Linked DNA regions of Tamandua tetradactyla. The main gene of each other region encodes a partner of the protein of the gene in region 4 in a complex. Links are inferred from orthologs where the notes say so. Each region holds a gene or a part of one and is shown on either strand. Other genes may lie near its edges.

What was found.
Region 1: the proteins of KCNAB2 (region 4) and KCNA2 are in contact, whole or in part, in a crystal structure (PDB 5WIE), measured with the Rattus norvegicus proteins. The link is inferred for Tamandua tetradactyla from reciprocal best matches to the Homo sapiens genes KCNAB2 and KCNA2. Residues at the interface, in NP_059000.1 of Rattus norvegicus: Met193, Met196, Tyr199, Ser200, Arg203, Glu231, His234, Lys235, Ile236; in NP_037102.1 of Rattus norvegicus: Asp28, Glu33, Pro62, Met66, Phe69, Asp70, Pro71, Leu72, Arg73, Asn74, Tyr76.
Region 2: the proteins of KCNAB2 (region 4) and KCNA3 are in contact, whole or in part, in a cryo-EM structure (PDB 7EJ2), measured with the Homo sapiens proteins. The link is inferred for Tamandua tetradactyla from reciprocal best matches to the Homo sapiens genes KCNAB2 and KCNA3. Residues at the interface, in NP_001186789.1 of Homo sapiens: Met196, Tyr199, Ser200, Arg203, Glu231, His234, Lys235, Ile236; in NP_002223.3 of Homo sapiens: Pro133, Met137, Phe140, Pro142, Leu143, Asn145, Tyr147.
Region 3: the proteins of KCNAB2 (region 4) and KCNA1 are in contact, whole or in part, in a crystal structure (PDB 1EXB), measured with the Rattus norvegicus proteins. The link is inferred for Tamandua tetradactyla from reciprocal best matches to the Homo sapiens genes KCNAB2 and KCNA1. Residues at the interface, in NP_059000.1 of Rattus norvegicus: Met196, Tyr199, Ser200, Arg203, Glu231, Lys235, Ile236; in NP_775118.1 of Rattus norvegicus: Glu37, Met70, Phe73, Asp74, Pro75, Leu76, Asn78, Tyr80.

The regions. Positions count from the first base shown.
Region 1 is NC_135337.1:11,968,214-11,976,290, forward strand, and holds the start of KCNA2 (potassium voltage-gated channel subfamily A member 2), read left to right. Parts: upstream 1-4,955; 5' UTR 4,956-5,019; intron 5,020-5,533; exon of another isoform or gene 5,534-5,641; intron 5,642-7,124; 5' UTR 7,125-7,463; intron 7,464-7,904; 5' UTR 7,905-8,064; coding exon 8,065-8,077. UniProt on the Homo sapiens protein: Voltage-gated potassium channel that mediates transmembrane potassium transport in excitable membranes, primarily in the brain and the central nervous system, but also in the cardiovascular system.
Region 2 is NC_135337.1:11,903,276-11,910,377, reverse strand, and holds the start of KCNA3 (potassium voltage-gated channel subfamily A member 3), read right to left. Parts: upstream 3,088-7,102; coding exon 1,366-3,087; 3' UTR 1-1,365.
Region 3 is NC_135333.1:67,200,601-67,208,629, reverse strand, and holds the start of KCNA1 (potassium voltage-gated channel subfamily A member 1), read right to left. Parts: upstream 3,016-8,029; 5' UTR 2,451-3,015; intron 2,089-2,450; 5' UTR 1,585-2,088; coding exon 97-1,584; 3' UTR 1-96. UniProt on the Homo sapiens protein: Voltage-gated potassium channel that mediates transmembrane potassium transport in excitable membranes, primarily in the brain and the central nervous system, but also in the kidney.
Region 4 is NC_135328.1:219,376,667-219,383,701, forward strand, and holds the start of KCNAB2 (voltage-gated potassium channel subunit beta-2), read right to left. Parts: upstream 3,011-7,035; 5' UTR 1-3,010.

The DNA.
Region 1 (8,077 bases), on a different chromosome or scaffold from region 4:
CTTACACTACCTCTGGCCTGACCCAGACAGGAGCTAGAGGGTGGGAGGTGCACACAAGCCGCTATAGCCTGCAGGGGACTGGATAGATGATGGGTCTTGGGAGAGCACAAGTCCAGCCCACAGCATCCCTGAATATTCGGTGCTATGAGAGTATGCAGTGGGATGGTTAAGAGCAGGCCTTCTGGAGCCACAGTGCCTGAGTTTAAGTTCTGTCTCTTTCCTGGGCTAGCTGTGTGACGTTGAGCAAAGTATTCAGCCTCTCTGTGAAACAGAGGGGCTACAGTCCCACCTTGAGGAATAACCTCCCAGCTGGGCTATCCTCTGATACATCCCTGGTGGTGCTGATGCAACGCCAGCCTTCCTTCTTGGCCCCTTCCAGCCTGTTTGGCGAGAGTCAGGAGCAGCCCCCGCCTGGCCCTGTGGTGATGCAGGGGTTTTCAGTAGCAGGGGCCTTTCAGAAAAGTCGAGGGTAGGGACCTGAAAGGCAGGAGGGAGGGAGGCAGTTAAGCCTGTGGGAACATCACAGAGACCATACAGCTGCCTGGTGTTTGGAGGGTCCATAAACACAGAGCAGGTGTTCTGGGCCGGGCCTGCACCAGACACTGAAATACAAATGCGGAACTGACAAGCCCCTGCCCTGAAGGTGGAGACAGAGTCGGGCCTCATCAGACTTACCGTGGTGATGGACCTGTGTCCTGGGTACCGTGCAACATTGCGTCGGTGGGGGGAGATCCAGGCTCAGGGAGAATGGGACACGAATTGCATGTCAGAAGAGGAGTTGTTGCAGGGCTAAGAGGGCAGAGAGGCAGGAAGGTAGCAGGGGATTCTGGCTGAGAGGACTGCTGGAGCCAAAGCAGGAAGACCTGGAACCTTCTGGAAGCTCACGTTTCTTGAGCCCTTCCTGCAGGTCAGGCACTGAGAGAAACACCTGGTATACTTTATCTCCTTTACTCTGCAGAGCAAGCATTTAGGTACATGACTCCCGTTTTACAGATGTGGAACCTGAGAGTCAGACAGGAAAAGCACCCCAGCTGAGGTCCCTCGAGAGGCAGGCAGCAGGGCCGGGACTCCACCCCAGGTCAGTCTGAATTCAGGTCTAGACTTAATCCACCTACTTCAAGCCAGTTTAGAACCTTGGAGGCCGTTCCATGTGATGCCATATAGACTTCTAGGACTGGGGACAGAGGGAAGTCAAATCTTGAAGGGCTTTTCTTGCCTTTTAGGAAACATGGTGGCATCATAGCAGTGGGGAGCCACTGAAGAGTTTAAGGGGTAAGTGACATTATCTGATTTGTAGTTTAGAAAGTCACGGTAGAAATTGTGGGAGAAGAGACCAGAGGGAGCTCGTCTGGAGGCAGGGGGACCAGTAAGGGTGAAATGGCCCAGGCAAGCGTGATGACGGCTTGAACCAGGGTGGCACTAGTGTGTATGTGGCGGGGGGGACAGGGATCACAGGGACACAAATAGATGTGAAGGCCGAGTGATTGACTAGATGTGACGTTTGGGGGAGGTGAGAGAGAACTGAGAGGGACTCCTGGTTTGGGCAAGCCATGACGGGCAACGTCTTTCACTTTAAGAGGTACGTGAGAGAGAAGCAGGCCTGGGAGGTGAAACTGATGAGTCTGAGGCACAGGAGAGAGGCCTGGGCTGGACCCAGGGAGCCAGGCCGGTGAAGCCAGCTCAGCTACTTGGAGCACAGGTCCAAGAAACTGGGTGGAGCCCCCTTTGTCCTGCCCTAGAACATGGGGCTCATCGCCTTGAGTGGGTTACCATGGTTGGCATCTGGGATTCCATATCAGTGAGCTCCATCCGGGGACTGGCTGTAGAACATGAGTTGTCTCTCACATAGACGGAAGGCTGGATCATTTAGATTTGCCTCCCCCAGCATCCAGGTCACCGTGGGCAGCCTGAGTGGGCCAGGATGGCTTCAGAAAGAGTCCTGATTCACACAGTGATGGAGGCGGAACACTGCCAGCGCCCTTGAGAACCATCTTCCACGGGACAGCTGAAATGACAGGTGCTCCAAGGCCCACGGCCCAGGACACACAAAAGTATCTGCTCTCATCACAGATGATTCGCACTTCCATTGCTAATAGAGAAGGCAGCCGTGGTAGCAAGGATGGCCGATGATGATGATAGCTGATCCTTATTGAGTGCATACTGTGGGCTTGGAAGTGTTCTAAGTGTTTTCCATGCCAACCACACAATAAAAACTTATATTTGAAGAAAGTATCTCACAGCCCCAAAAAAATGTAGCGGAGCTGGGATTAGGCCCTAGGCGTCCTGGCGCCAGGGGCTGTCTGTCCTTCAGCCACTATGCTATACTGCCTTTGGGTGTTAATGGCAATGGGCCTGATTTCAAGGCAACCAATACACGACTGACACAGAGTAGCAACTCCAAAATCTCAGGGAGGGTCCGTTTTCCTTTCTTTAGCTACTCAAGCCAATAGCATATAGTGGGCTGGCGTAAACAATGGGGATTTATGAGCTCAAGTGTTTGAGGCTAAGAGAAACTGAATCAAGACTTCATCAAGGCAATGTTTTCTTCCCAGACCTACACTGTGGGGCTGACAGCCAGTGGTCCTAGGTCCTGGCTCCTCTGTCCCATGGTGAGACACATTGAGGTGTCTCCTGGCCTCTCAGTTCTCTTTCAGTTTCTATTGAATTTCAGCTTCTTGCTTACTATTGCTTTCTCTCTTTCGATCTGAATTTCATTCTGCTCATAAAGGATGGCAGTGAAAGGATTCAGACCCATTCTTCTTGGGTTGGACCACAGTTTAGCTGAAGTAACCTCCTCGAAAGGTCCTACTTGCAATGTGTTCACAGCCCCAATTTTGGAGTAAGAGTAAAAACATGTTTTTGTGGGAAATATACAGCTCCCATCCACCACCGGGCCTATCCCCTTTACCCATTCCTTAAAATGTTCTTTTCATTTGGCCACTATATAGAGTAGAGTGGGAGAGTATAGCAGTCAATTTAAAAACAGCACTTCAGGATGGGAGCCAAAGCCCAGGTCTCCATATATCCCCTTGGAGATAGCTAGAATTAATCTTGGAAGCCTCCCTGTGAGAAACAGACCTTGACTTCTGACTCAAAGTATAAGCCCTTACAGAAGGAGGGAGATGGAGCCACTCATTTCACTTCCAGGAGAAGTTCTCTCATGTTGCTATAGCGGGCATGATGCGCATTACTTGACACTGTAACCACAGAAATGATCCTTTCACACACTGGCCAAGCTTTTGGCTTTTCCAAGCATATTCACAGGCATTATCCTCTTTGATCCTAACAATGAGACTTTAATACACAAAAACCTTGACTGTTAGTTTCCTTCCTTTTTCCTTTCTCCCTCCCTCTCTCTCTTTAAACACTATGAAGCAAGGGAGGTTGGGGTAAGTGCTCTCCTTCCTATTTTACAAGAAAACCGTTGCACAGCAAGTTCAAGTGAGTGACCTAGGGTCACACAGCTCCATGTCCACGGCTGCATGATAAGACTAAAGCCAGACTACACCCCTAGTCAGATGCTCTGACTTTTACTCTACTTTACCACCACTTAGTCGTCAGGTGACCCCGGACAGGTCACATCCCCTCTCTCTGCCTCAGTGTCCCTCCTGTGAAATAGTGCTAATGTAGAAACTGCCTCCTAGAGCTGTGAGGATAAAATGTCACGTGGGGGCAGAGCTGCTCTGCACAGCGTCTGACCCTGGCGAGCCCTTGTCACCAATTAGCATGACTGTTCATTCTCCCTCAAGAGCTTTTGTCTGTCCACATCTTTGGTTTTAACAAAAGAGGGAAAAATAAGATATAGGGACATGAATGGAGGAACCATAACTGCCATGAGGACCCAGTGTGGTAAGTAGCATCACAGTGAGGAGCAGGGTTCTGGAGGACACCGTGGGGAGAGGGATGGGAATGGCTCAGACCTCAGGAAGGATGAGGGGTAGGGCCAGCTACCCTCACTGGGAAGCAGAGAGAATGGAGTTACAGAGACCCAGCAGCTGGGCACGTAGAGGAATAGCAGAAAGCTAAGCTGGAGACTCAAGTCATGAGGGGAATTTCCTAGGGAAGCATAGTAGAGAAACCATCCTTTATTATTGAGTGTCTGTTGGGTGCTAAACATTTTACATACCATAACCCCGGGAGGTATTCTCATTTTGCAGATGGAGATTCTGAGGCCTAGAGAATTGAATTGACTTGCCTAGTAATTGGCAAAGATTTAAGTCAGGGTCTGGCTGACTCCCAAACATCCCCAGGGCCTAGTTTGGCTGGGCCAATTAATGGCCCCGCTTCAAGGGGCTCTAAACCAACCCTGTCATCCCCCATAGCAGCATGAGCTCACTGCTCTCCCAGACTGCCCTTACTTCTTAAGTCACGTCTTATAAGACTACCCTCTTCGAAATGCTGGAATCCATCAGAGGCCAGTGAGTCAAGGGCTGGGCCTTGTCCTGAGCTCCTATGGGGCCTCAGTGCTTCCGTCACTAGGTAGAAGCATAGATATGAGGGTTCCCTGAGCAGAGAGCACCCAGTAGGAGACTTCCCCTACCACAGCCCCCTCAGAATCCAGAGCATGTGCCTCCAGCAGAGTCTGAGCCAAAGAAACCAGTTTGGATCCCATGGCCTGGGGCCATCATGTGCACCCCGGGAGCACCCCTGGATCTTAGCAGAGGGCAGGCTGGGCTACCCACACACATTTTTCCAAGAGCAAAGGGTATCCTTCTCTGCCCACCCCAGGGTGGTGTGAGCTCCCCTCTTGATTTCAGAGCCCGGTAGGCCAGCTGGTTTTGTAAAGTCTGAGAGGGGGCGCATCCTGGGAGTAGCTGGTCCTCACAAAGGGCAGCCACATGTACTCCTACTTTCTGGCCCTGATCCTGGGGTTAGGGAAGCCAGCCCAGAAGGCCGGCTCTGCAGTGCTGTTTGTTCCAACAGCGACTCCTCCCGGTGGGGGGCGAATGTGGCAGCGAGTTTCTGCCACACTGCGGCTGCACCTGCTGCATTCCCCTTCGAAGCCAAGGCTTCGGCTGGGTAAGGGGTAGGTGGGGAGGCAGAGCTGGAGGAGGGGGCGCGCCGGCGAGAGAGGCCAGGGGAGGATCTGCAGATCCTGCCTGGCAGTCTCGTAATAATAGCAACACATCTCCCGCGGGGCTGGATCCCTCCTCGGGCCTGGGATAGCTGCTATTGATTGTTTCCTCCTTGCCTACTTCTTTATGTTAGCAGGAGCCTCAGGGGCGCTTCTCAACTTCTGCCCCTTCCATCTCTCCGGCCGCCCGTTCCCCGGCCACGGCAGCACCCAACTGAGCTCTCCAAGAGGTTCTGGTTAGTAACCTGGGCTCTGCCAAAGAATGGGGTGCTTTCTTCGTGACGTGGGAGCCGAGGCTCGGGGGCACCAACTGGGTGGCCAGCTTTGGCACCCGCCGGCCCCTTTAATTCCAGTTCACTGGCGGGCCAGGTGCGGCGCTGCGTGGCGCGGTGCAGCGCGGTGCAGCTGCGGGCGGCGGCCGGGCGCTCTGTACGCGCCGCCCGCGGGACTGCAGAGCCGGCTCCCGGCTGGCCGCCGGCACCCCCACCGCGGTCGCCCGCAGCCGCAGTTCAGCCGGTGCTTGCCATAAACCACGAACATGGAGGCTCCGAGTGCCTATCCGGAAGGGTAAATCGGTGTCGGCGTTTCGCTGCGCGTGCTGCCTCCCCCTGCCCGGGCTGCGGCGCCAAGAGGGGCTGCGGGGCGCTGGGAGGCGCAGCCTGCAGGGTGGAGGGTTCGGGCTAAGGCCCGGGAGGGCGAGCCGGTACCGACCACCGCTCTCTGATCGGCGGGTTCCGGGGCCGGGGCTGGAGAGGGGGGCTTGCGCCCTGCGGAAGAAGAATGCACGAAAGGGGCTCGGGGACCCTCTGGGGTGTGCGTGACACGGGACGGAGGGCACGTAGAGGCGCTGGCCGGTGAGGGGAGTGCAGCTGACAGCATAACCATGTCTGGTAAATAGGGCCGGTTGGTAAGATCTCAATCACTTGGGACGGCCGGGCTGCTTTCGCCTGTCGGGCACTGAATAAAAACGACTTTGCTGCCCAGAAAGGCTGGTTCCTTTCCCTAGGGCCGTGAGCTGCCGGCGGAGCCCCCGCGCTTAGGGGGAAGCTGAGATCTGGGGCAAACCGCGCAGGGCAACCCACCTCCCACACCCAGAGTTCAGGCTCCGGTGTTTCCGGGTGGAGATGGACCCGCGGTGGTCCCTCGGGGGCGTTCCGGCCCGCAGCAGGAACTGGCGGGGCCGGGCAGGAGAGGGTTAAGGGGGTGCCTGTCGCCGCGGCAAGCAGGATGGTCCAGGCTGAGCGGAGCGGGGAATGCGCCGGGAGGAATCCCGGCCCGAGCCCGGGGCGATGGGGAGAGGGCTCAGACCCCTCCCTGATTTGGGACCGGCGGGATTGGGCGGGCAGTAGGCCAGCCCGGAAGCAGGCTTGCTTCAGGTTCTCCCTCTCGCGGCTGCCGAGGTACCGCTCCGCAGTCAGGCAGACTGAGCGTTTGTTCTGCGCTCCCTGCCGAGGACTTGCGAGGGATTTTCTCTTGGGGGAAAAATCAGTAGTTGAGTGTCTGCCCGGCTCAAATGCCACCCCGGCTGGAAGGAGGCCTGCGGCCCAGGGGTCCCCGGCAGAGAGTAAGTCCAGGGACCCGGCTAGCTTTCCGACAGAGGCAGCCTTGGGGGGTGTGGAGTCTTCCTAGTTGAACTCTGAAGGCGATGGGGGAATTGCTGCTTCTCCCAGGGTCTGGTGGAGGTCAAAGCTGTAATCTGGCTGCAGTGAGCACAGCCCTCCCCTTGGGAGATGCTGTGTCCTGGCAGGAGGAGGAGGAATAACGCTTTGCCCAGAGTCCCTCCTGATGGCATCTGAGGACTTGGGGATCTGGCTCAGCCCCAGAGAGGCCCCTGGAGGAGACAGGCCCAGCCAAGCCTGCAGGATTTTTCCTGGGGAGAATAGTTTCAAGTTGATGGGAAGCTTGAGGGGTAGTTCTCAGGAGTGGTACTCCAATGGCAGGTGAGCATGGGGGACTGTCCCCTTCAGTAAGGGCAGCTGCCAGAGCCCTCTTAAATCTTGGCACCAGCTCCCCAGAAACCCTGGTCCCACCTTACTGCTGTTTCTTCCAGGCAACGTCACACCTCCTGAGGACAGCCCGGAGGACTCCAGCTTTTGCTGAGCTTTGTATCTTGCCTCCTTCCTTCCAAAGGCTCCAGACCCAAGCTCTTCTGTCCCCAAGTCCCGCAGGCCCCTGGCCAGGCTCCCCACCACCCCTCCAACCCAGCCAAACCCTGGAGCTCACCTCCAGGACCTGGAGCCTGCCCTCCTGCCCAGGATGACTCACCATTATTTCTAGCTCGGGCGAGAAGACGTGATGGGGAGTTGGGTTGCCTGTTTGTATATTTAGGATTCCTGCAGCCTCTGATCAACTCTTGCAGAAAGAGAGCTTCAGATTCCTGCCTTGTCAGGTAAATCAATCTGCTGTTTAAAAACAGCAATGTGTAGAGTCGTTGGGGTGGGGGTAATGAGGGAGACCCAGGGTCAAGATCCCCAGCCGTGAAGGCCTCCCAGGGTGCAGGTATTTGTAAGACATTACTTCAGTGCCTGGGGTAGGGCTCCCTCTAGTCTTCTAGGATGGGCTTAGGCTTCTGTGAAGCCTGGACAGTGAAGAAGGGTCCTGTACCAGCCACCTTTTCTCAGTGCAGGGCATTCCACTGCTTCCTTGAGACACTGCTATCTGCTCCCCTCTGATTCTCCCCCTCCCCCCCGAAAAAAGTAAATTTTGCCTTTTTATGATGGTGGTAGTCATGTTTCTGAACTCTTGGCTTAGAGAGCGGAAACAAAAAGCAACCCAGGTTGGGCTGCCAGCGCTGAGTGGTCTCATGCCCTTAATTGTCTCTGTCTTTCAGCCAAGCAAGGCTGTCTCTCCAGCTCTCAGAGAGCCACTGGGCTCTCCAGAGGAGCCCAGGCCAATGCTTCTGCATTTCCTGGAGCCTTCAACAGCACCCTGAGCTCCCTGCGCTGGGCAGCTGGAAGGTGTCGCGTGAGGCACTTCTCTGAGTCCCAATTATGACAGTGGCCA
Region 2 (7,102 bases), on a different chromosome or scaffold from region 4:
CTGATTAAATCTGTCATTTGCTTATATACAGAACACTTCTAGATTTGCTTTTTAATTTCATCTGTTGACTTGAAACTTCTTGGAGAAAAAAAAAGAAGAGACGCTTCTTCTTAAATTATTGCCTAATAATTGGCATTTAATTGAAATCATGCCTTATTGTGGTTTATAGCTAACATTCTCAAGATGTTCTTTTCCTTTTTGATTCAGTCATTTAAAAAAAAAAGAACTTTGCGAGTCAGTTTACCTTCTTAGATTCTCAGGCTTAACTTTGTGCGGTTTATTCAAACAGTGGTTTTCCTTGTGAAATCATGTAAGTAGAACCATCTGGAAAGGTTACTGTGGAAACGGCAGGGACTGGGATAGGATGGGGGGGCTACAAAGCAAGAGATGCCATGACAACCTTTTTCGGGTTTCCCAGGAAACATGAGTTGCTATGGGAACTGCATCAGTCAGGTCTGAATTAGAAACTTCCGCTGGAAGCGGTGTCTGCCACTTTAATCTTTTTGTGATTCTGCAAGATCTTCTCTCTCAGATGCATTAGGAAATATTTTGTCTCTCTCAGCAGTACAGAAGACATCTGTTTCTAGATTCTGATAGATGCTAGCTGGGACACATGCACGGAACTTCTTCACGGGGAATTAACTGTTAGTCTTGGTTTCAAAATGCTTCTCCAGCCCCAAAGAGTTAAACTAATTAGTCAGATCAGGACATCTGGGGCATTTCCCTTTGTTCAAAGTTGTACAGACAGTTAACATTCCAGGGGTAACTAATCAGTCAGATCAGGACATCTTGGGGATTTTCTTTTGCTCAAAGTTGTAGAGACACTTAAAATTCCAGGGGTGGGGGTTTCAAATAGAAATTCCAGTCAAAACCCAAATAAACTTATGGTGGGTTTTCAAGTCTGTTCAATTACATCTACACAGGGTAGGTAACTGAACTCAAAAGTAAATACTAATGTAGACTGATGTATCATTTAGTATTTGTCTCCTTTACTTAGTAAAAAAATTGCCTTTTAATTTTGAGGTTAAAGTTATCTAACTGCCCTTTAGTTTCATTTCCCCCCAGGATGTACTTCATTTTTTTTTAAACAGGGTGTGTACTAGAAACCAAGTTTAAAGTAAGTCTGTAGTCTCAATAGTGAGAGAGAGAGAAGAAAGAGGAGAGCTGAGAGAACGCAGCCCACTTGCAAACCAGACACCTGTTTCAGTATGAAGCAGTAAGGAGAGGGCAAATGAAGTGTGCTTTCCACCTCTTCATGTTCTTTCTTTGATGAATGGTCTGAAAATGTATAAAACAAGGGCATACACAGACCAAGGGGGCACGTTCCACACAATGCTGAGCACAGTATGTCACTCGTGGCACATATTAAACATCGGTGAATATCTTTTTGATGTTGACACAGGAGTTGGGATTATTGTTTGCGGCGCAAGTGGCCGTGGAGTTGCCCGTTTTGAAAGGGGTCTGGAGGAAGGAGCTATGGTTCATACCCCCCTCTTCGATCACCATATACTCCGACTTACTCAGAGTCGAGTTACTCCTGGCTTTTCGGAGCTCCTCGGCTGAAGGGGAGAGGTGCTGGCAACTTCCCACGTGCATGTATTGGGCTTGCTCTTCGCCTTCTGTCTCCCGGTGGTAGAAGTAATTGAAGTTGGAAACAATCACAGGAACTGGCAAGGCGATGGTTAAGACACCAGCGATTGCACAGAGCGAGCCCACAATCTTGCCCCCTATGGTCACTGGGTGCATATCACCGTAACCTACTGTTGTCATGGTTACCACTGCCCACCAGAAGGCATCAGGAATACTGCTGAAACCCGAAGTGGGGTCGTCTGCCTCGGCAAAGTAGACCGCGCTGGAGAAGAGGATGACCCCAATGAAGAGGAAAAAGATAAGCAACCCTAACTCCCTCATGGAAGCCTTCAGCGTCTGCCCCAGGATCTGCAGCCCCTTGGAATGGCGAGAGAGCTTGAAGATGCGGAAGACCCTCACCAGGCGGATGACCCTCAGGATGGCCAGGGACATGGCCTGCTGTCCATTGCCTTGTCGCTCAGCCAGCTCGGTGCCCAGAGTGATGAAATAAGGGATGATGGCCACGATGTCTATCAGGTTCATGATATTGCGAGAAAAGGTGGCTTTGCTGGGGCAAGCGAAGAACCGCACCAGCAGTTCAAAGGAGAACCAGATGATGCACAGGGTCTCCACCACGAAGAAGGGATCCGAGAAGCTGGAGGCTCCCGCGGCGGCCCCCGACGTGCTGTTGCTGGCCGACTCGAAAAGGTCCTGCGACGACGAGGCGGGGTAGTCCTTCTCGTCACGGAACTCCGGCAGCGTCTCCAGGCAGAAGATGACAATGGAGATGAGGATGACGAGCACGGACACGATGGCGATGCCCCGGGCCGGCCCGGAGCTCTCCGGGTACTCGAACAGCAGCCACACCTGGCGCTGAAAGTCGCGGCGGGGCAGGGGCCGCTCCTCCTCCCGCAGGAAGCCCTCGTCCTCGCGGAACTTCTCCATGGCCTCCTCGCCCAGCTGGTAGAAGCGGATCTCCTCGGAGAAGATGTCGATGGGCACGTTGACCGGCCGGCGGATGCGGCCCCCGGACTGATAGTAGTAGAGGATGGCGTCGAAGCTGGGCCGGTTGCGGTCGAAGAAGTACTCGTTGCGGAGCGGGTCGAAGTACCTCATGCGCCGCTTGGGGTCGCCGAGCAGCGTCTCCGGGAACTGGCAGAGGGTCTTGAGCTGCGTCTCGAAGCGCAGCCCCGAGATGTTGATCACCACGCGCTCCCCGCAGCAGTCCTGCTCGCCGGCGGCCGGCAGCGCGGGCGGCAGCGGCTCGTAGCGGTCGCAGCCGCCGCCGCCGCCCTGAGGCGGGCCCCCGCCGCCGTCAGCCGCCTCGGGCTCCAGCAGGTGGTCCCCGGGCACCACGGTCATGTCGGGCGGCAGCTCGCGGCCGGCGGCGGGCTCGGCGTAGCCGGGGTTCACCAGGGTGTGGGCGCCGCCGCCGCCGCCCGCCGGACGCTGAGGTGGGTGGGCGCGGTGGCGGGCAGAGGGCGGCGGGGAGCGCAGGAGGCTGAGGTGCTCGTCCATGCGGCGCGGAAGCGGCGGCGGCGCCTCCGGCGGGGCCGCGTCGCTCCTCCTCGCGCTCCCCGCCCCCTTCGCCCCCGCCCCCGAACCGAGCCCGCCGCCTGTTGCCAGTTAGCGCCGCCGCTGCGAGGCTGTCTGGGTCTGGCGCGTCCGCGGGGCTCCTCAAATCAGACGCCTCCTCCCCCTCCGCCCTCTCCCCCCCGCCCTCTCCCCCTCCGCCCTCTCTCCCCTCCGCCCGCGCGCGCCCGCCGGCCCCTCCGCGTCCCCTCAGGATTCCCGCCCACCGGGCGGGTGCGCGCCCCGCTCCCCCGGGAGCCGCTGGCCTGGCTTCTCAGTATTCCAGACGCGCCCTCGTTCTGCACCTGGGTAAACCCCCGCAGCCCTCGCTGCCAGCCAGCGCGGCCCGTGGGGAATTTGGTCACTGGGTCCCGGGCCCTCGGCTCGACCCGCCCTCCCCGCTCGCGTGGCCGCGTCCGGGTCGCCGGGCTTCTCGGCGCGCGCGGGTCCCACGCCTCGGCCGGGGGCTTCTCGCCGCGGCCCCGGGAGCGCCCGGCCTTCTCGCCCTCCACACGCCACCTGGGCCTTCTCGGAAGGGGCGGGGGCCGCGGAGCCCAGGGCGCGGGAGGCGAGGAGGGCCGACGTCTGTGTGCTCCGGGCGCGGCGCCGTGGAGAGGGAGAGCGGCAGCCCAGGTGGGCGCCCGGAGAGGCAAGCCTGGGGCCAGCATTTTGAGCTCACTGGAGGGTAGAACTGTCAGGCGGGAAGGGCTCTAAATTATTTAGCTCTTGCTTGGACGAGTAGCTGGAGAGAGGAATGGGTAATGATGGGGTTCGCACCCGGACTGTGAAGAAAATGGGTCATTAAAGGGGTCCAGGGACCTCGCCTCTGCAGTGAATAGTTCACGCTAACTTCGTCGCTGAGATCTCAGCCATTGCGAAGAATCAGGGATAAGTCTTTAGTTGGGCTTGAGCACCCTCCTCTTTTTAAACAGTGGGATATCCTGTCGGTGGGGAAATTAGAGGAAAATGGGAAAGGGAATTCACCACGTCTCATCTGTGTGGTTTTCTTACTGTAACTAAGGCTGAAGTCTGCCGTGGGAGGGAGGGGAGCCGGACCTCTACCTCTTAGACTCTACTTAATGCTCTACCACTGCCCTTGTGGTAGGGAATCTGCCGCACTCTAGTTGTTAAACTGGGAGAAAGCCCGCTCTCCAACTTCAGCCAGCCTCTGTTGCTTAATTTTAGCCCAGAGATAATAACGTATATGTATTCTCTTTGAACTTAAACTATGACTCCAAATTGTTGTGACTACTCTCGGCACGATTTCTGTTTCTAGACATTTTAGCAACTCCAATTTAGAGTTGACAATAGGCTTAAAAATGTGTCTTCTATCGGGTCATTCAAATCATTTACAAAAGAGGAAATGTTGTGTAGACAACTCCTTCACCCATCTGATATTAGCTGGCAATTTTATATGCATTAGGAGGGATTCGTAGTCATTCTTTTCTACCCCACTCCTAACTATGAGGTCTTTTAGGGCAAAGACTAGGTCTTACCCAATTTATATTCCTAGCAACTATGTGAAGTACTGGTGAGTAGGAACTCCATGTGTTTGATGAAATGAATTCCCCAACAAATGGTTCTTTGCATTTCTGTCTGCTCCAGACTCTACATTTCTTTTTCCAACCCCAGAATCCTGCTGGGATTCCTGGGGTGGGGAGTGGGAGGAAACTGAGCTCATAATACAGTACACTGCTCAGTTATTCCATTTCCATCTCTGGCTCTTCTGGGTATAAGCACCCAGAAATAAATAATGTTCTTTATTGTTCGTTCGTCTTCCTCTTCCCCTCCAGATCACTGCTGGGCACTGCAAGGAGTTTGCATATATAATAAGATGGTAAAAGTGGGCAGCCGTGTAAAATACTCTCCCACAAAACTCCAGAGCACACCACTATTTTATATATATATTGAGTTGGCAATTAGGGTAGCAGTATAAGCATTCATATATTTAAATCTAAGAACGAGATAGACTGTTTGCTGCGAGGATAGTTCATAGAAAGACAAGACCCTATTTTTTGAAGACCAAATGCTTAACACACTTCTTTGCTGACTTAGAAGTGATTTATTCTTCTTTTTTTGCAGGAATTAGTAATGAAATTAATATTAATCAATGGCTAGGAACACCAGAGCAGAGGATGGTTCTGTGATGGATGTTCTGTCACCAGCTGCTCCCTGCTGTGAAGTGTCTCTCCTTCAGAAATGGATTACTTCTTTTCCTTTCGTGTATTTGCCTTGTCTGGAAGACTTGGATTATGAGTTTCTTTCATAGTCTTTATTTGTGAGGCCCAGAGAGGTTTAACAACTTGTTCAAGTTCACACAGCTAGGCACTGGCAAAGCCGGGTCTAAACTTTTGGACCATTTTCAAATCCAACGTTTGTTCTACTGTATCATACTGTGAAACTCTTATGTTGATCACTGTGAGTGCTTAATAAATACTAGGTTTCTAACAGCAGCCCTTTTGCTTCTGATTACCGACTATTTCACTTCAATTCATATTTATTTTAAATGAAAATCATTGCCTTCTGACAGCCAGTATATTGTCTACAGGAAATAAGTTGGTGTGCACATTCCAGCCCTGTTGGACAGCAGAGCCCATCACAACAAATGAGTGTCAAAAATGGCACTTCAGGAGGAACACATACCATTTATTTAGCACCCCCAAGTGAGTAGCTCAAAGTGATTGGGAAATGTCTCATTAATCTTCATGACACCCCTGTGGGGTAATAATACCATTATTATAATGTTTAAGCGTATAACTATGGCAAAGCCAGCAGCATCACCGAGCATGTGCAGGATTTCTCATATTTCAGTCTTTGCTATTAAGGCCCAAGTAAAACCATCAGGTTTGCATACAATAAAAATGACCCTTGGTGTTTGGGCTTTTGTGTTGCTTTAGACCTAGCTTGGGTTTCTTACTGACCAGAACAGTACTAGAAATAGCTCACCAGTTGCTTGCCAGATGGTAAACAGCATCTGGAATTAGTCAGAAGTGTTTGAGAGTAGTATGAGGCAGGCTTACGGATCACCACTAATCCACAGTTATAGATAAATGGAAAAAGAACATCTTTATTGTTCTCAGTACTGTGGGGGTATGAAATTTGAACATGGACCTTGCTTTCAGTAGGCTTGGGTAGAATTGTGGAAGCAGGATATAAATCCATAAATTCATGAAAATTTTTACAACATTATTAGTTAACAATGCAAGACCAGAGTGTCACAAGACAATGTATTACTTTTTGGACTGTTCTAGCCAAGCTGGCTGCCTAGCAGTTTCTCAATAATACCAAGCTGTTTCCCTCTGCAAGGTCTTTGTACTTGCTCTTCTCTCTGCCTAAGACACTCTTCCTCTAGATTTTACATGGCTCTTTCCATCACTTTAGGTCTCTGTTCAAACTGTCACTCATTAGAGATATTTCCCTGACCACAACCACTCGATTTCAAATAGCTGCTTTTCTCTTTTGGTAAATTCCTGGCCTCTTGCCTACTTTGTCTTTCTTCATTGCATATGTTTACATGTAATTACATGATATATTTATTTGGTTACGTGTTTCTTTACTGTCACTTACAATAGGAAAGAAAAAAAAGCGTGACTGTATCAAAGCAGGATTTTGTGTTCACTTCTGTATTCCCAGCATCTAGCACAGTGCCTGGCACATAGTAGATGCTTAGTTAATATTTATTGAATGGAAGAAAGAAAAGGCACATAGCAGTGAAAACACAAGCCACATGAAGGAACAGTGAGTGAAGGAGTTTTGCTGGTGTATAGGGGTCATGTTGGAGAGGTATCTGTCCAGTTCTGGTTCCCTTTCATAAAACCAGCTGGGCTGTGTTTTTTGTTAAGGTTTGCTTTTTGTTAAGGTTTACAATAATGAAGGATTGCTTTTTAAATTGCCACTTTCTCCCTTTCTCTTTCCCTTTCCTTCTCTCTACCATCATGGAGGTGTCTATCCTGCATTCCAG
Region 3 (8,029 bases), on a different chromosome or scaffold from region 4:
TATCTACAAAATGTGACGTGGGTCTCTCGGGTTTTCGTTTTGTTTTTAAGTCCTTCAAGCTGCTAAGTGGGGCTTTTTTGTTTGCTCGCTTGTGTTTTAAACATCGGTTAGTAGCTTGCTCTTATTAACGCAGTTTTGATTAGCCGTGGTGCAATTGCCAGTTCTGATATTGGCCTGTCTATAATGGGTTATGCTATTATTCATATCCTCTTCGATCTCCATGTACTCAGACTTGCTGATAGTAGAGGAACTGCGGCGACTGAGGTCGCTGTCAGAGGCTAAATTAGGGGAGCTAACGTGGAGCAGCTGAGCCTGCTCTTCCCCCTCAGTTTCTCGGTGGTAGAAATAGTTGAAATTGGACACAATGACAGGTACGGGCAGGGCAATTGTCAGCACACCAGCGATGGCACACAAGGAGCCCACGATCTTGCCTCCAATTGTCACAGGGTACATGTCACCGTATCCTACAGTGGTCATGGACACCACCGCCCACCAGAAAGCATCGGGGATGCTGGAGAAGTGAGACTCAGCTTCTTCCGCTTCGGCAAAGTACACTGCGCTAGAAAACAGTATGACCCCGATGAAGAGGAAAAAGATGAGCAGCCCTAGCTCTCTCATACTAGCCTTGAGGGTCTGGCCCAGGATCTGGAGGCCCTTAGAGTGGCGGGAGAGTTTGAAGATTCTAAAAACTCTTACCAACCGGATGACCCTGAGGATGGCCAGGGAAGTGGCCTGCTCGCCTTTCTGGTTTCCCTCCTGCTCGGCTATCTCTGTGCCCAGGGTGATGAAGTAGGGGATAATGGCCACAATGTCGATGAAGTTCATGATGTTCTTGAAGAAGTCCGTCTTGCTGGGGCAGGCGAAGAAGCGCACCACCAGCTCGAAGGAGAACCAGATGATACACAGGGTCTCCACTATGAAGAAGGGGTCCGTGAAGATGTTGGAGGTGTAAACGACTGTGGTGTTGTCGAGGCGGTGGATCGTTCCCGTGAAGTCCTTGTCATCCTTCAGCTCGGGGAGAGTCTCCAGGCAAAAAATGACGATGGAGATGAGGATGACCATGACCGAGACAATGGCGATGACCCGGGCCGGCCCGGAGCTCTCCGGGTACTCGAAGAGCAGCCACACCTGGCGCTGGTACTCCTTCTCCGGCAGGGGGCGCTCCTCCTCTTTAATGAAGCCCTCGTCCTCCCGGAACTTCTCCATGGCCTCCTCACCTAGCTCGTAAAATTTGATCTCCTCGGAGAACATGTCCAGCGGCACGTTGACCGGCCTCCGCAGGCGGCCCCCGGACTGGTAGTAGTAGAGGATGGCGTCGAAGCTGGGCCGGTTGCGGTCGAAGAAGTACTCGTTCCTCAGGGGGTCGAAGTAGCGCATGCGTTTCTTGGGATTCCCCAGGAGCGTGTTGGGGAACTGAGCCAGGGTCTTGAGCTGCGTTTCGAAGCGGAGCCCGGAGATGTTGATCACCACGCGTTCGCAACATTCGTGGTCATCGTGGTCTGCCGGCCGGGGGTAGTTGCCGTCTTGGGGGTGGCCCGGGGCGGCCGAAGCCTCGTCCACGTTCTCTCCAGACACCACCGTCATGTCTGAAGCCGGGTGGAGGGGTGAGAGGCCAGGAGAGAGCCCGGGGTGGGAAAGGGCCAGAGAGGAAGGGTGGGGGGGACCCAAGCGGCCCCCCCACCGGAGTGCGCGTCTCCCCCACGCTCGGGGGCGGGGAGGAGGCCTTCAAGGCTAGGAGGTTAAGAGATCTGGGTCTTCGCTGCCGCTGGCCCTCCACCACGCTTTCCACTCAATTTGGAATCCCCCTCGCCTGGGGCCCCCGATGCAGATTTTTGCCCGGGGTTGTTTTTTTTCTACTTCTTCCTTCTCCGAGGCGCCTTAACGCAGCGCTATTCTAGCGGGTCGGGCCATCGTTTCGAGGGTCACCCTGGCCTCCCCGCCCCTCCGGGAGCCCTCCTAGGACCGGGTGCAGTGCCAGCTCAGCAGATCCCCACGCCTGCCACCCCCTCTGCTTCTCCTCGGCTCTCCCCCCTCCTACCCCTCTTCGCCTGCCGCCTTCTAAGCTCCCACCAGGGCGATCGATGGACGCTGCAGAGAAATAGAAAGTGATACGGGGGTAGAAAATCAGAAGCATTCAGATGGGACGGATCTACAGACACCGAAGAGCACAGACCTCTAGCTATTTTAGACAGCACTGGACCTTTGCTAGGGTTGTCGCATGCACACAAACGGACACACACGCAGACACCCAGAAATCCAAGTTTGGGGCTCTTTTATCCCACTTTCCCCAACACCCCGCAGCCGATCCGTTGACAACTTCGTTCAACTAGAGATCGGAAACGCGCCGAGAGACAGCGAGGGAGCTCCGGATCCCAGCCACATCCCCACACCCGGGCGTCCCCCACCCCGGCACCCCCCGCTGTTGCAGCCCCAAACTGGGAACCCCCTACCTGGCGGGCCGGCTTGGCGCAGGGGCGGTGCTGAGTCGGCGGAGAGCCCGAGTGGGAATGCGGCAGGTCGCCTTTGCAGTACCCGGGAGCGAGTAGCGGCTACCGCCGCCGCAGCAGCATCGGAGAGGAGCCGGGGCACGCTCGCTGCCCTCGTCCCCTCTTCCTTGGCTCCCCTCAGTAGGACAATCGCTTTACTGAGCTGCCGCGGCGGAAATGTCCCCCCATTCTCTCCGGTTGTCAACAATCTGGAGACGCCGTTCTCTCTCCGGTGCAGGGAGTCCCGGAGGATGCGGGCGGAAAAGCAAACTGCCACCCTCTCGCGAAGCTCTGAAGCAAATGACGATAAACAGTGCTCTCGCCCCCTCCTAACGCTGTGGGAGCCCTAGATTCGATCCCGAAGGAGGCAGGCGGCGGGCGAGCGGGCGAGAGCATGGATCTACATGATTCTCGGGTTCCTTGCACTCCCCGCACCCCAGCTTCAACCTCGCGGCGGCTACGCGGCGCGTCCCGGGGCTTCAGGAGCTCAGAGTGGAGCCCGGTGCGTGCCGCGGCGGGTCCGCTCGGTCCATTTCTGGGCGCTGCAAGATCAGCAGAAACCTGAGAAAGCGCCTCGCATGCGGAGCAGCGATTGGCCCACCAGGGCGTGGGTTGGGGAGGGCGGGGGAGGGCAGGAGCGAGGAGGTAGATGGAAAATATGAGGGGGTGGTTTGGCAGAGGGGGGTTGTCATTCAGTTCCCACCCTTGCCAGCACAGCTTTTTCCTTCTCCTATCAGAAAAGCCGACCACCAGCTCTGCTTTTCTGGAGGTTCACAGGCCCCGCACACACCCGGTCCCCCGGCCGGGGGATTTCACACTGGAAATGGTCAGGTCCGACGCAATGCAGGCGGTGGTGTCTCTGGCAAAACTCCTCGGATGGGTTTACATTTGTGCAGTCCCACAATAATCCGCTTCGATCGCAACGCTCAGAGCGTCATCCCGCCCCTCCCGCAGAGGGCTCTCGGCAGGGCAGAGTCAGCGTCTCCCCGCGGGACTGGAAGGGATGCAGAGTTTGACAGAGCACTGCAGTTGAATCACCTGCGTTTATTCAGTTTAGTGTTCCCGGGAGGCGGGGGTGCTCACGGTATGCCCCTCTGTGACCCGCGACGGGAGTTAAAGTTTTCTTACCATCAGATTATTTTGAAACGCAGAAAACATGACTTGTGGGAGACCGAAAGCTCTGTGGGTTTGTGGGGTTGTCTGCCAACTTGGTGCTAATTGGGACGAATACTGAGAAGCATGCCGCCAGCCCACCTCCCACCCGACGGATCTCCTCCCCCAGCCTCTTTCCTGGGTCTAAAGTCTCCCCAGGGCCACAAGCAAGGCTTGCAGTTGCTTCTTCGGGGTAAGGTTCCCACCGAGGCTCAGGCAGCACGAGCCGGAGGCGTGCGCGGTGCTCCCGGAGTGCGGCTCATCCCGCGCCCCCACAGGCATTGCGCCTCCGCGCCTGCAGCGCGAAAGAAGGCAGCCAGCAGCTCCGGTACTTCAGCTGCGGCGGAATCTCTACGCATGCTGTTAAGAACCCGGAGTCGCCAGTGATTGGTTCCTCCGGATGAACCGGGACCGCCCCTTCGCACAACCAGAGTTCTTGCCTGGCGCCTACACCACCCACCTCTTTAATCAAAGCCAACGATTGCATCCACTCCGCTGTATTGTGGCTAGTGGAAAGCAGGGGCCTCTGCGGGCAGCCCAGGCAGTGCAACAACCCCGGGCACAGAACTAGTTAAGTACCCCCTCCAGATGCATACCCCAGCATTCCTTTCAGAAAAATTAAAGTATTTGTTCCCTGCCGTCCTCCGTTTCCATACCGCAGCTTTTCTGTTATGAACAGTGAGCGCTCTCATACTTCTTTCCTTATTTGATGCTGCTTTTTTCTCACCTTCCACACACATATCCGTCTATCCCAGTAACTCCACGCTTCCTTAACTTTCTGCACTGCTGCTTTATTGCCAAAAATAGAGAAATAAAGCATGAAATTCCATGTCGAAATACCATCAAATCCCGTGTGCTGTTTGCTGCTGCTGCTGCTGCTGCTGCTGCAGTTAGAATCCTATTGGAGATATCCCTGGTAGCCATGAGAAACATTTTCTGTGTCCCAACAACACCCGCCTTCCCTGTTTTCCTCTTTCTACCCTGCTCTGCCTGCAGCCTCTTTCCTTGCCTTTAAACTCTGGTTAGATTGCCATCTTCCCCACCTCCGTGCAATTGCACTTGCCCTGATTCAGCATTTAAAGATCACCTTACTAGAAGAGATTCACAGACTAGATGGGGTCCCAGGTTCCTAAACTCAGCGTTTTATTAGGAGGTTGAATAGATCAGTGGTGTTCACATTCCTGGCCTATGTGTTTAGAGTAGGGTCGGAACTCCAAGAATTAGAAGAAAGTTGTTGAGCTAGGAATCCAGTACTCTTGATGCAAGTCCACCCTTGGCGAGGGACAGAAGATATTTATGCATCCAACAAATATGTGCTCAGCCCAAGCCTTGCCCCAGCCATTGTTCTAGCACTGGAAATACAGTCATAACAAAACACACAGTGTCCTAAACCTCTTGGAGCTCACTTGCTGGTGGGAGAGGCAGACAATAAACGAATAAACCGAGTATTATAGCATTAGGTAAAAGAAATTCAGAAAAGGGGATGGACAGTGACAAGTACGGATGTGCCTGGATAGGAGAGGCTTCTCTGCAACAGTAAGGTGAGCGGAGAACCTCCACATTTGAGCAGGGAGAGCAAGGAATGGGAAGATCAGGATAGAGGTAAGAGCAGATGCTACTAAGCTACTAAGACGAAGACAAGCTCAGCAGATTCAGGAAACTGAAGGGAGTCAAAATGGCTAGGAAGGCAGGACCAAAGGAGAGTGTTGTAAAGGGGGAGCTCAGAAAGGTAGGCAGGAACCATATCCCAAAGGCTTCTTAGGCCATGGTCAGAATGTTGCTTTTTTATTCTGACTGTAAGGAAAAGACATTGGAGAACTGGGATCAATGTAATAATATAATATGATCTGCATTTTTGGAAGGTGATTTTGGCTTGCCAGGAGCAAGGCACCAAGTTGGAGTCTCTTAAGTAGTATAGGCAATGAAAGCGTAAGCTAGGGAGACAGTGGGGAGGCTGTGAGAAGTGGTTGGAATAGGACTACATTTTGAAAGTTAAGATGGAAGGACTTTGGGTGTAAGGGAAAGAAGTTTCAAGAATGTCTCCCAGCATTCCAGTCTGAGTAACTAAGTGAATCGTATAGTCACGGAAGCATGGGCTCGATAGAATGCATGCCCCATGAGATATGGGACCTTGTGTGTCTTAGTTATTGATGTATTGGACAGTTTAAACATCTTCTCAGAGTCCCTCACCTTCATCATGTCACCTGTTCTTGCCTCGGCTGCTCCTGAGACAACCAACTCTGCGTGGGCTGAGGTCAAGTGGGCAGCAAATTAGTAGAATCTGTCTTCCTCAAGGTTGTAGAAAGGGCAGATGAGCAACAGGGAAGTACAGAGGCATTAGCTCTTTGTGAGATGAAATTCAACCACCTTAGGAGCTGAGGCGCTCAGGAAATAGGACAGAGCCAGAAGATACATCCTATTTCCCTTTGTCCCTCTCAGGAACCAGCACACACATATTCTATGATTGGGGCTGTGTGTCTCTGTGGCTCATGAAGCAGTGGCCAATTTGGGAACTCACCACCTTGCAGTCATGCCCATCCTCCCCTTTATCTTCACTCTGGCTGCCTTGGATTGTACCTTCCATTAAAGCATTAGCACATAGATCCTATCTCAGGGTCTCTTTCCTAGTGAACCTGAGCTGAGGCAAAAAGAATCAAAACTTCTGGTTGTGACATGTTAACTTGGATATATCTGTTAAATATCCAAATGAAAACGTTGAGTAGATGATGAGTCTAAAGTTCAGAGAAGAGGTCTGAGTTGATTAGGGTTTTCAGCTTCAGCACTGTTGGATTGCATAATTCTTTTTGTGGGAGCTCTCCTGGGCATTTTAGGATCTTTACAGCACCCTTGGCCTCTACCTACTAGATACCTCTAGCACCTCCCTCAGTTGTGACAACCAAAACTGGTTCTAGATATTGCCAAATGTCCTCTGGGAGTCAAAATCACCCCAGCTGAGAACCACTGAGGTAGATGGTGGTTAAGCCAGAGTCCTGGAGGGGAGCACTTGGACAGGAGGGTAGACAGAGAAGAGGAATGCTCAGATTGTGCCTTGGGATACTCCAGTAAAGTTAGGAGGCCAATAAAAGAAGGAAGAGCCAGCAAACGAGACCAAGAAAGGGTAACCAAAGGGCTAAGCAAACCAGGAGGAGATGGGTTCTGTGAAGCCAGAAGAAAGTAGTGTTGATTTTGTTGTTGTTTAATTTTTCATTTTTAAATAGTTTCAAGCTTACAGGACAGCTAAAAAATAATATACCTTCCATACAGACAACTTCCACATACTCCTATGTGCACCCCCGATACCCAGATCCAACAATTCTAACATTTTGTTACATTTGTCTTATTCTAGCTATTCATCATTTTAGCAATCCTATCTCTCCAGCTGTCTGTCTGTTAACATAAATCCACTTTCTGAACATTTGAATGTGGGTTGTATACAATAGTACTCCTTAACACAGAATGCTACCGTGTCATTTTCCTAAGAACAAGGAGATTCACTCATGCATCCACCTTAGGCGCAGTTATCAACATTGATATAAAGCTTTCAATCTATAATCTACTTTTTTCATATATCTCAATAGTGTCCTTTTCAAAAGCCTTCTCTCCTTCCCTATTACGTCCCACCCAGGATTATGCATCATCTTTAACTGCATTGTCCCTTTAGTTGCTCCTCAAAGGACGCTGTTAAGAAAATGCAAAGGCAGTGCAAGCTATGGATTGGGAGAAGATACTCACAATACATATATCTGACAAAGGACTTAGGCTCAGACATGTTAAAAAACTCTAACAACTCAAGAAGAAGAAGAAAAACAGCACAGTAAAAACAGAGAAAAGGTCTGAATAAACACTTCACAAAGAGAACATACTATCTAATTACATTTACATGTAATTTAAAATAAGCAAACATAAATCAGCAGTTTCCTGGTGTCGGGGATGAGAATGTGGACTGCAAGGGGGCACACAGGCATGTGTGGGGAGGATGGAAATGCTCCACCTTGATTGGGTAGTTGTTGCAGGTGTGTATAAATTAATCAAAACTCATATTATTGCACATTCAGAACGGGTACATTTTATTGTATATAAATCATACTGCATTTTTTAAAAATACTCATGGTCAAAGAGCAAATGCCATACACTGAACTGAAAGAAGAAGTTTAGACATTTTGGTATCTTTCCAAGAGCTTAACCTGTGATCTTTTCTTAAAGAAATTGTTCTGAATTGTTATGAATTGAATTACGTCCCTCACAAAGATATTTTCAGGTCCTAACTCCCAGTCCTACAGCTCAAACAGCCTATAGATGTGAACCCACTTGTAAACAGGATCCTTGAAGATATTTTTGTTAAAGTGAAACTAAGCTGAATTAGGGGGGGCTCTGATCCGGTATAACTGAAG
Region 4 (7,035 bases):
GGAGTGAGGCATGGCCTCACAGCATCCTCCTGGAGGGACCCTCAGGGTGAAACCAGGTCGAGGGCTGTCCCAGGGGAAGCAGCACAGGTGACTGGGGGACTCGGCATGGCGGCAGGGACCTTGCCTGCTGCCTGAACATACTCTAGTATGGCCAGGCCAGGGGACTGCAGCCCCCATGCTAGGTGGCCACCACCTGAGGAAAGCTCCCTGGCTTCGTAAGCCTCGTGAAGGACAGCACCGTCCACGCAGTCTCTGCCCAGGTAAAGCATCATTGCCGTGGCAGAGCCCACTGGACTCCATGCTCTAAGATAACCAAATATGTCACAATCCTTAAGCTTCTGCAAAGAAAGACTGAGCAGAATGAACAGGAGTGCCGGGGCTGCCTGGGAAGGAGTTAAGCTGGGATGGGAACTTTCAAAGCTTAAGTGGTAAGAACCACACCAAATAGATGGTCATCCTAAATAACTACCCTTGGAAACTAAAACCCAGATAAATGTCCATTGACCATCCACACAACGGAAATGTGCCCAGTCGTCAGGCCTCTCGGGGTGGGCTGATTGGCAGGGAACCCCAAAAGAGGGGGTGGGTTAAAACAAAGGCACAGAGAGAAATGAGACAAAATAAAGTGTCAGTGGCTGAGAAATTTCAAAAAGAATCGAGAGGTTATCCTGGAGGTTCTTATGCATTATGTAGATATCCCCTTTTTAGTTAAGGTGTATTAGAGAGGCTGGAGGGAAGTGCCTGAAACTGTAGAGCTGTGTTCCAGTAGCCATGTTTCTTGAGGATGATTGTATAATGATACAGATTTTGCAGTATGACTGTGTGACTGTGAAAACCTTGTGTCTGATGCTCCTCTTACCTATGGTATGGACAGAGGAGTAAAAAATATGGATAAGAAATACACAAATAATAGGGGGAAAAGTTAAAATAAATTGAGTAGATTGAAATACTAGTGGTCAATGAGAGGGAGGAATAAGGGTATAGCAGGTATGAGTTTTTCCTTTTTTATTTCTTTTGCTGGAGAGATGCAAATGTTAAAAAAAATGATCTTGGTGTGAGTACACAACTATGTGATCATATTGTGAGCCACTGATTTGAACCATGTCAAGAATGTTTGTATGTTTGTTGTTTATAATAAAAATATTAAAAAAAACAAAACATCGCAAAGGCACAGGGAAAAAGTTACCATTTGTGCTCATTTTGGCACTTACAGGAGAGTGTGTAAGGCTCAAGTGGACACTTAGAGATGAGTGTGTAGATATTCATTCAGGTACTTACAGATGAGCATGTAAATGCTTATTTGGGTATCTGGAGATGAGTGTATAAATACTCATTCAGGTATGTATAGATGAGAGTGCAAATGTTCACTCAGGTACACAGAGATGAGTGTGTAAATGCTCATTCAGGCACCGAGAGATGACTCTGTAAAGTTCATCCAGGCACTTGCTGATGAGTGTGCAAATGCTCACCTGGGCACTTACAGATGAGTGTGTGAATGTCCACCCAGGTATGTACAGATGAGCATGTAGAGATGAGTGTGTAAATGTTCACGAGGGCAATTACAGCTGAGTGTGTCAATACTCATTTGTGCGCTCACAGATGTGTGCAGATGCTCACCTGGGCCCCTGCAGATGAGTGTGTAAATGAATGCTGCACCGTGGCCATGGACATCCAAGCCTTGGAGTGTATTTGGCCAGCCAACAAAGACCTGGTTGTGGGGGCAGAGCAGGCTGCCAATCCAGGGACCCCACCAGCACTGCACTGCACCCCCAGCCTCGACCCAACAGTTCCACAAAGCCCACGAAGCAGGGGGGGAGCTCAGACGTGGAGCTGCTGCTGCAGCTGGGTTGGCCGCAGAGGGGTCCCGGAGGCCTGGGCTGGAAAGGGAGCAGCACTGCCCCACACTTCGGCACATGCAGCGACAAGCCCTAGCAGCCAGGGAGGGGGCTGCGAGGGCTGTCTGGGGGGCTGTCTCAGGGCTGAGGGTGGCACTGCCCTGGAGGTGCCCTAGGCTGGCCCCTCTTCAGGTGAGCTCTACAGGCTCAGCTCTGCTGGGCCTCCTTCACAGGCCAGAGCAGGGCCCCCAGGCTGGGAGTCTGGGCTGAGTCCAGGGAGTCTGGAGGCTGAGGTGGGGTGGGCCGAGCTGACCTTTTTGCACTCTGGTCTGAGGGGAGGGACTGTCCCAAGGAGCCTCGGGGCTTCAGGGGTTTCCAGACCAGTCTGTCTGTTTGTCTCTTGCCTCCTGGGCCTGCAGAGTGGAGACGTCCTTCCTGTCCCCCTTGACCCTGCCGGGCCTGGGGCCTGGCTCACAGCAGGGGCCCAGAAATACTTGTTGAAGAGCACCCAACTGAGGCGGGGAAGGTGGGCTTGGGGTAAGAAACTAGTGAGCAAGGAGATGCTAAGGGCCCCTTCCAGGGGAAGAGGGGAGCCGTGCACCTGCCACCCCGGGCCAGGGCTGGACGATCTGGAGGCAAATCCTCACTTCCCCAGGTGTCTATGCTTAGAGACGATGCCAGCTGCGGGGCTCTTCCCGGAGAGCCGGGACCAGCCCAGACATGCGCTTCCTCAGCCAGGCATAGCCGGGCCGAGATCAATAGCCATTAGCTCTCAAGGTATTGACCACAAGGAACCCCCCAGGTCTGGCTGGCTCTGGAAACACATCCCGGGCCCAGGTGGTGGGTGGGTGGGTGTGGCTCAGCACCCGGGTTCTGGACTGGCAGCCCTGTCTCCAGCTCTCAGTGTAGCTCTAGCAAGCACCCGGGCCACTGCAGACCTCAGTGTTCACATCTGTGAAGTGGGCTGAGCAGAGGCCCGTTGCTAAAGGCTGCCGTGAGGATGCCCTGAGGCTGGGCACGTGGTGGCTGTGCAGCCGGGACCCCGAAACTCCCCCCAAGGCTGGTGCCACGAGGGGTGGGGAGGCTGTCTGGGGGCTGGCAGGTGGCCCCCTGGGGGTGCTGCGTGAGCTGGGGCTTGAATGACGGGCGAGCCAGGCAGAAGGCAAACCTCGCTAGAAAATGCTTAGTATGAGGAGATACAGATATTCCTGACGGCTCCTGCCTCGCAAGAATACTGAGATGGGCCGTGGGTGAGGGTTGGAGATGGGGGCTGGGGGGGACAAGGGCGGGAGCAGGAAGGAATGGCCCCCATGTGGCTGAGACTGAGGGGCTGCAGGCCCCCTGCCTGAGGGCTCCTTCAGGCGCATTCGTGGCCCTGGGAGCAGGTCTGTGGGCTGGGCCACCTGCGACATGGTGGCCTCCGAGATCCTGCCTGGGATGGACCCCAGGTGCCTGGGAGCAGGCCTCGGCTGAGAAGAAATGGGGTGTGGGGTGAGCGCGGCCCCCCACCAGGGAGGGAGAGTGAAGCGAGCAGCAGAGCAGAGGCCTGGCACCTGGAGTGGCTCTGAAGGTCAAGGCCCACAAAACACGCATCTGCATAAGAATCGGGGGTGGGGGTCAAGGGAGAGGGCGGAGGGGCGTGCGCGGATGGCAGAGGGCACTCAGAGGGTCACGGGGGCTACCCTGGACTATTTGGGTGGGAGAAGGCAGAGCCCAGCTTCCCTGGACTCGGAGATCCTTCCTCCCGCTGGGGCTCTGTTCTGGGAGGGGGGCCCTTGCAGGGCACCTGCCTCGGGCCCCTGGCAGCTCCAGAGCTCCAAAGTGCAGGAGCACCAGCCCCTGATTCCCAGTTTCCGGGCACTTCCCGCCATCCTGCCCCTGGCCTCCAGAAACTTCAACCCCTACCCCAACAGCTGTTGCTAATTATGTGGTACCTACACGTTCTTTCCTGCAAGGGGCCTGCCTTTTGCAAATCTATTCCTGTAGATTAGGGGGCTCCGGGGAATTCACAAAAATTAGCACCATGACGTGAGAAAATGAAACCAAGACATTAGCCTCATTAAATCGGTAGGAGCAGCTACCACCCTTAAGAGCGCGGTGCCTGGAATTCCTTAATTGTGGTCCATTCACTGCAAGTCACCTGGCCGTCAATAAAGCACAAGACCGAGGAGGAATTCAAACGACGACATCTGCTTTGAATTTAGAGAAAGGAGCAAAAGTCCTTGAGAGCAGAAACACAAGGGGAAGCTGTGTCATTCCGGAATGCAGCTCTACAATGCACGGCAGCGCGTTAATGCACGACCAAAATCGTTTTTCGCCCAAGATGGCTCAGCAAACCCAGGCCCGATCGAGCAGCACCCCCGCCTCCCAGGCATGTGGTTTCCTAGACTTCTCAGACAGCAGGCAAGCCTCCCTGACAGCGTTCTCAGGAAAACTCAGAAATGCAGAATCTCAATCAATTGTGAACCCGACAAGAGATGAGCCAGATACCTGTGTGGCTCCAACAGACGGGAAAACAGACATGAAGCCAGCCACCAGCCCTTGGCAGTTCGGGAGGCAAGCACGCCCAAGCAGGAGATCAGCAGCGGCCAGTGCTGCCAGGCCAGCAGCCCGCCCCTTTCCTCCAGCACTCACCTCCAACGTACCTACAGCTGCTTGGTTTTTTTTTTTTTTGAGGTTTTCTGCTATGAAAATGTAGAGGGTCTAATTCCCGAACAGCCAAAAGCATCCCCAAACACCATCTCCTCTGCTACTGCAGCTCCCAGGGATGACAGCACCCAAGCAGCGTTCCCACCCCAGGGGCGGAAGGAGAGACTCACCTGCTGCCTTGGGCTTCTGCACATTAAAAGGACAGAGGCTAGTTCAGGCTCGCCAGATGCTCTAAGGATCTGGCGCAGCGGAGCTTTCATTAGGGGAGTGTCACTGCAGGACGTCAGAAACAACTGGTGAATGAGACGGGTCCCACAAGGGCTGAGTTTTGAGTCGGTGAGTCCATTAGCTCTATTAGGGCGTTTGCATCTCGCTGAAAGAGGCTGAATTATTCAGGAGTGCCTCTTTCCCTAAAAGCCTGCGAAGTGCAGTTCTGCGGGCCAGCTCTGGGATGCAGGGTCGCAGTCTGGCTGCAGGGTGGGGGTGGGGGGCCGCGGCTGGGGACTTTCCCTTCCTGCAGGCACGAATGGTCCCATTGTCTCCCCCCAACCCTACTCCAGCGAGCCAGCAGACCCCCAGAGCAGCAAGAGGAAGGGGTAGTCGGTGCTACCTGCCCCAAGTTCCACTCAGGAGGGCCAGGTGTGTGTGGGGGGACAGAGAGCTTGCAGCTTCCCGCACCACCCCCCAATTCCTAGCTATGTCTGTAGCAGGTGAGCCACTGTCCCCACATTGGTGACTGCCCCCCATGGCTTCCGTCTTGGGGTGCCAAGAGAGGCTCAGCATAGCATCGACTTCTGGTGGAAAAAGTGCACCAGTGCACGTGGGATTTGGAGGAAGGCTGAGCTGTCTGTACTGTGGCAAACCCACAGACCTCAGCAGGGGACACCTTGGGGGGTGGGGGTGGAAAATTGTTACTCCAGCCCTGGAGTAGGACGTTAACTAAAGGGGGAGGCTGCGGGAGGCCCAGGGCCCGGAGGTGACTAGACACAGGCCATCATCTGTAAGGGCCGCGAACGTCAGCTCCCCGGTATCTGCCACTTGTCAGCTTCTGTGGGTGGGGTGTGGGCAAGGGTGGGTGGTCATCAGCCAACGTGCTCTGAACGCAGCCCGCCTCCCTCCCCCGGGCCAGCTGCTCCTCTGCTAGTGGGGCCTCCTTCTCAGCCTCCGCATGTCTGAGCCCCTCCGCCTCCGCGCATCCGTTGCCAAGCCCTATGGACTCAGCTTCTGATGTCTTTTTCTCATCTACTTGTACCGCTTTGTTCCCAAATCTCCTGCTAGTTTGGGCCTCCTCCTCTACTCTTGGCTGTTTTCTGGCCTCCTTACATCCATCATTCTTTCCCCCAACCCATCTTACTCCCTGTTTATGGCAGAGGTCTGGTCACTGTCCTGCTCAAACACCATCGATGGCTCCCCAGTGTCCACTATATGAAGTCCAAGGTCCTTTGCTTGGTATGCAAGGCCCTCACCAACATGACCTGATCTCTCATTATGCTCCCTCATGTCCCCGACAGCCCAGTCCACAACCACATCCCGTTCTCTGTCCACACCTCCGTTTTGTGCCTTAGGCTGTTGCACCTACTGGAATGTTCTTCCCAGTCTCTGGGCTGAATCCTGCCCAGCCTTCAAGGTCCAGCTCAGGACCATGCCACCTTCTCCATGAAGCCCTCCCTGCCTCCTCAGTGGACTAAGACCACTCCTCATCTGAACCCAGGCAGCTCTTTGGACTTCTCCCACCCTGTTTTGCATTCTAGATACCATGAGAGCTCTCTGGGTTTCAGGGCAGGTTGTGTTATCTCTCCTGGTCCTGGTCCTGGTCCCCTCTCTGCATCTGTGAGCCTCACCTCCTGACCCCAGCTCCTCCCGCTGACGGGACGAGTCTATTTTCCTGCATGGCCATGGTCACTTGCTTTGGCTCAGAGAAGGTAAGAGAGTGGCAGTGTACCAGCTCTCAGTGTGGGCCTCGAGAGGCGCTGCCTGCTTCCACCTCTCCTGTGTGCTGCGGCTGCCTGCGGAGGATGCACCTGGGAGAGCCGCTGCCTGGAAAGCTGGGGGGGCCGGGGGAATGGCTGGCCCCAACCAACCGCTTGGACACGAGCCCAGGGGCAGCACAGGAGATGTGGGACTTGGCTCTCTAACAGAGCTCGCCCCTGTGCAGAGAATGCTTTGCACTCTGGGTTGAGAGGGTACTTCCAGGAGGCTCCCGGAGGGGAGGGCGATGGGCTGGGTGTGAGGGTCCTGCGGGCTGGGAGTGGTACCAAGCGAGTGGGACTGCTTTCCCTTCAACGCGCTTTACCCGATGCCTGGCTCCACCCTCCTGCGAGTTCTCTGCACCTGGGGTTTTTCTGCCTGCCTGTCACCCTCTCTCCACTCCTGCTGGGGAACAGGGAATGCTGTCTGCGGGTGCCTTCGGGTGCTAGCTTGCATTCACTGGTCAGGTCTCAGGACGAATGCCATACCTTAAGATAAACACTTCATCCCAGGAAAGGATTCACAAGGCCAAGTTCACATCTATTTCAGGTAAAATCTTACAGAGCCAAAAATCCAGGGTCAT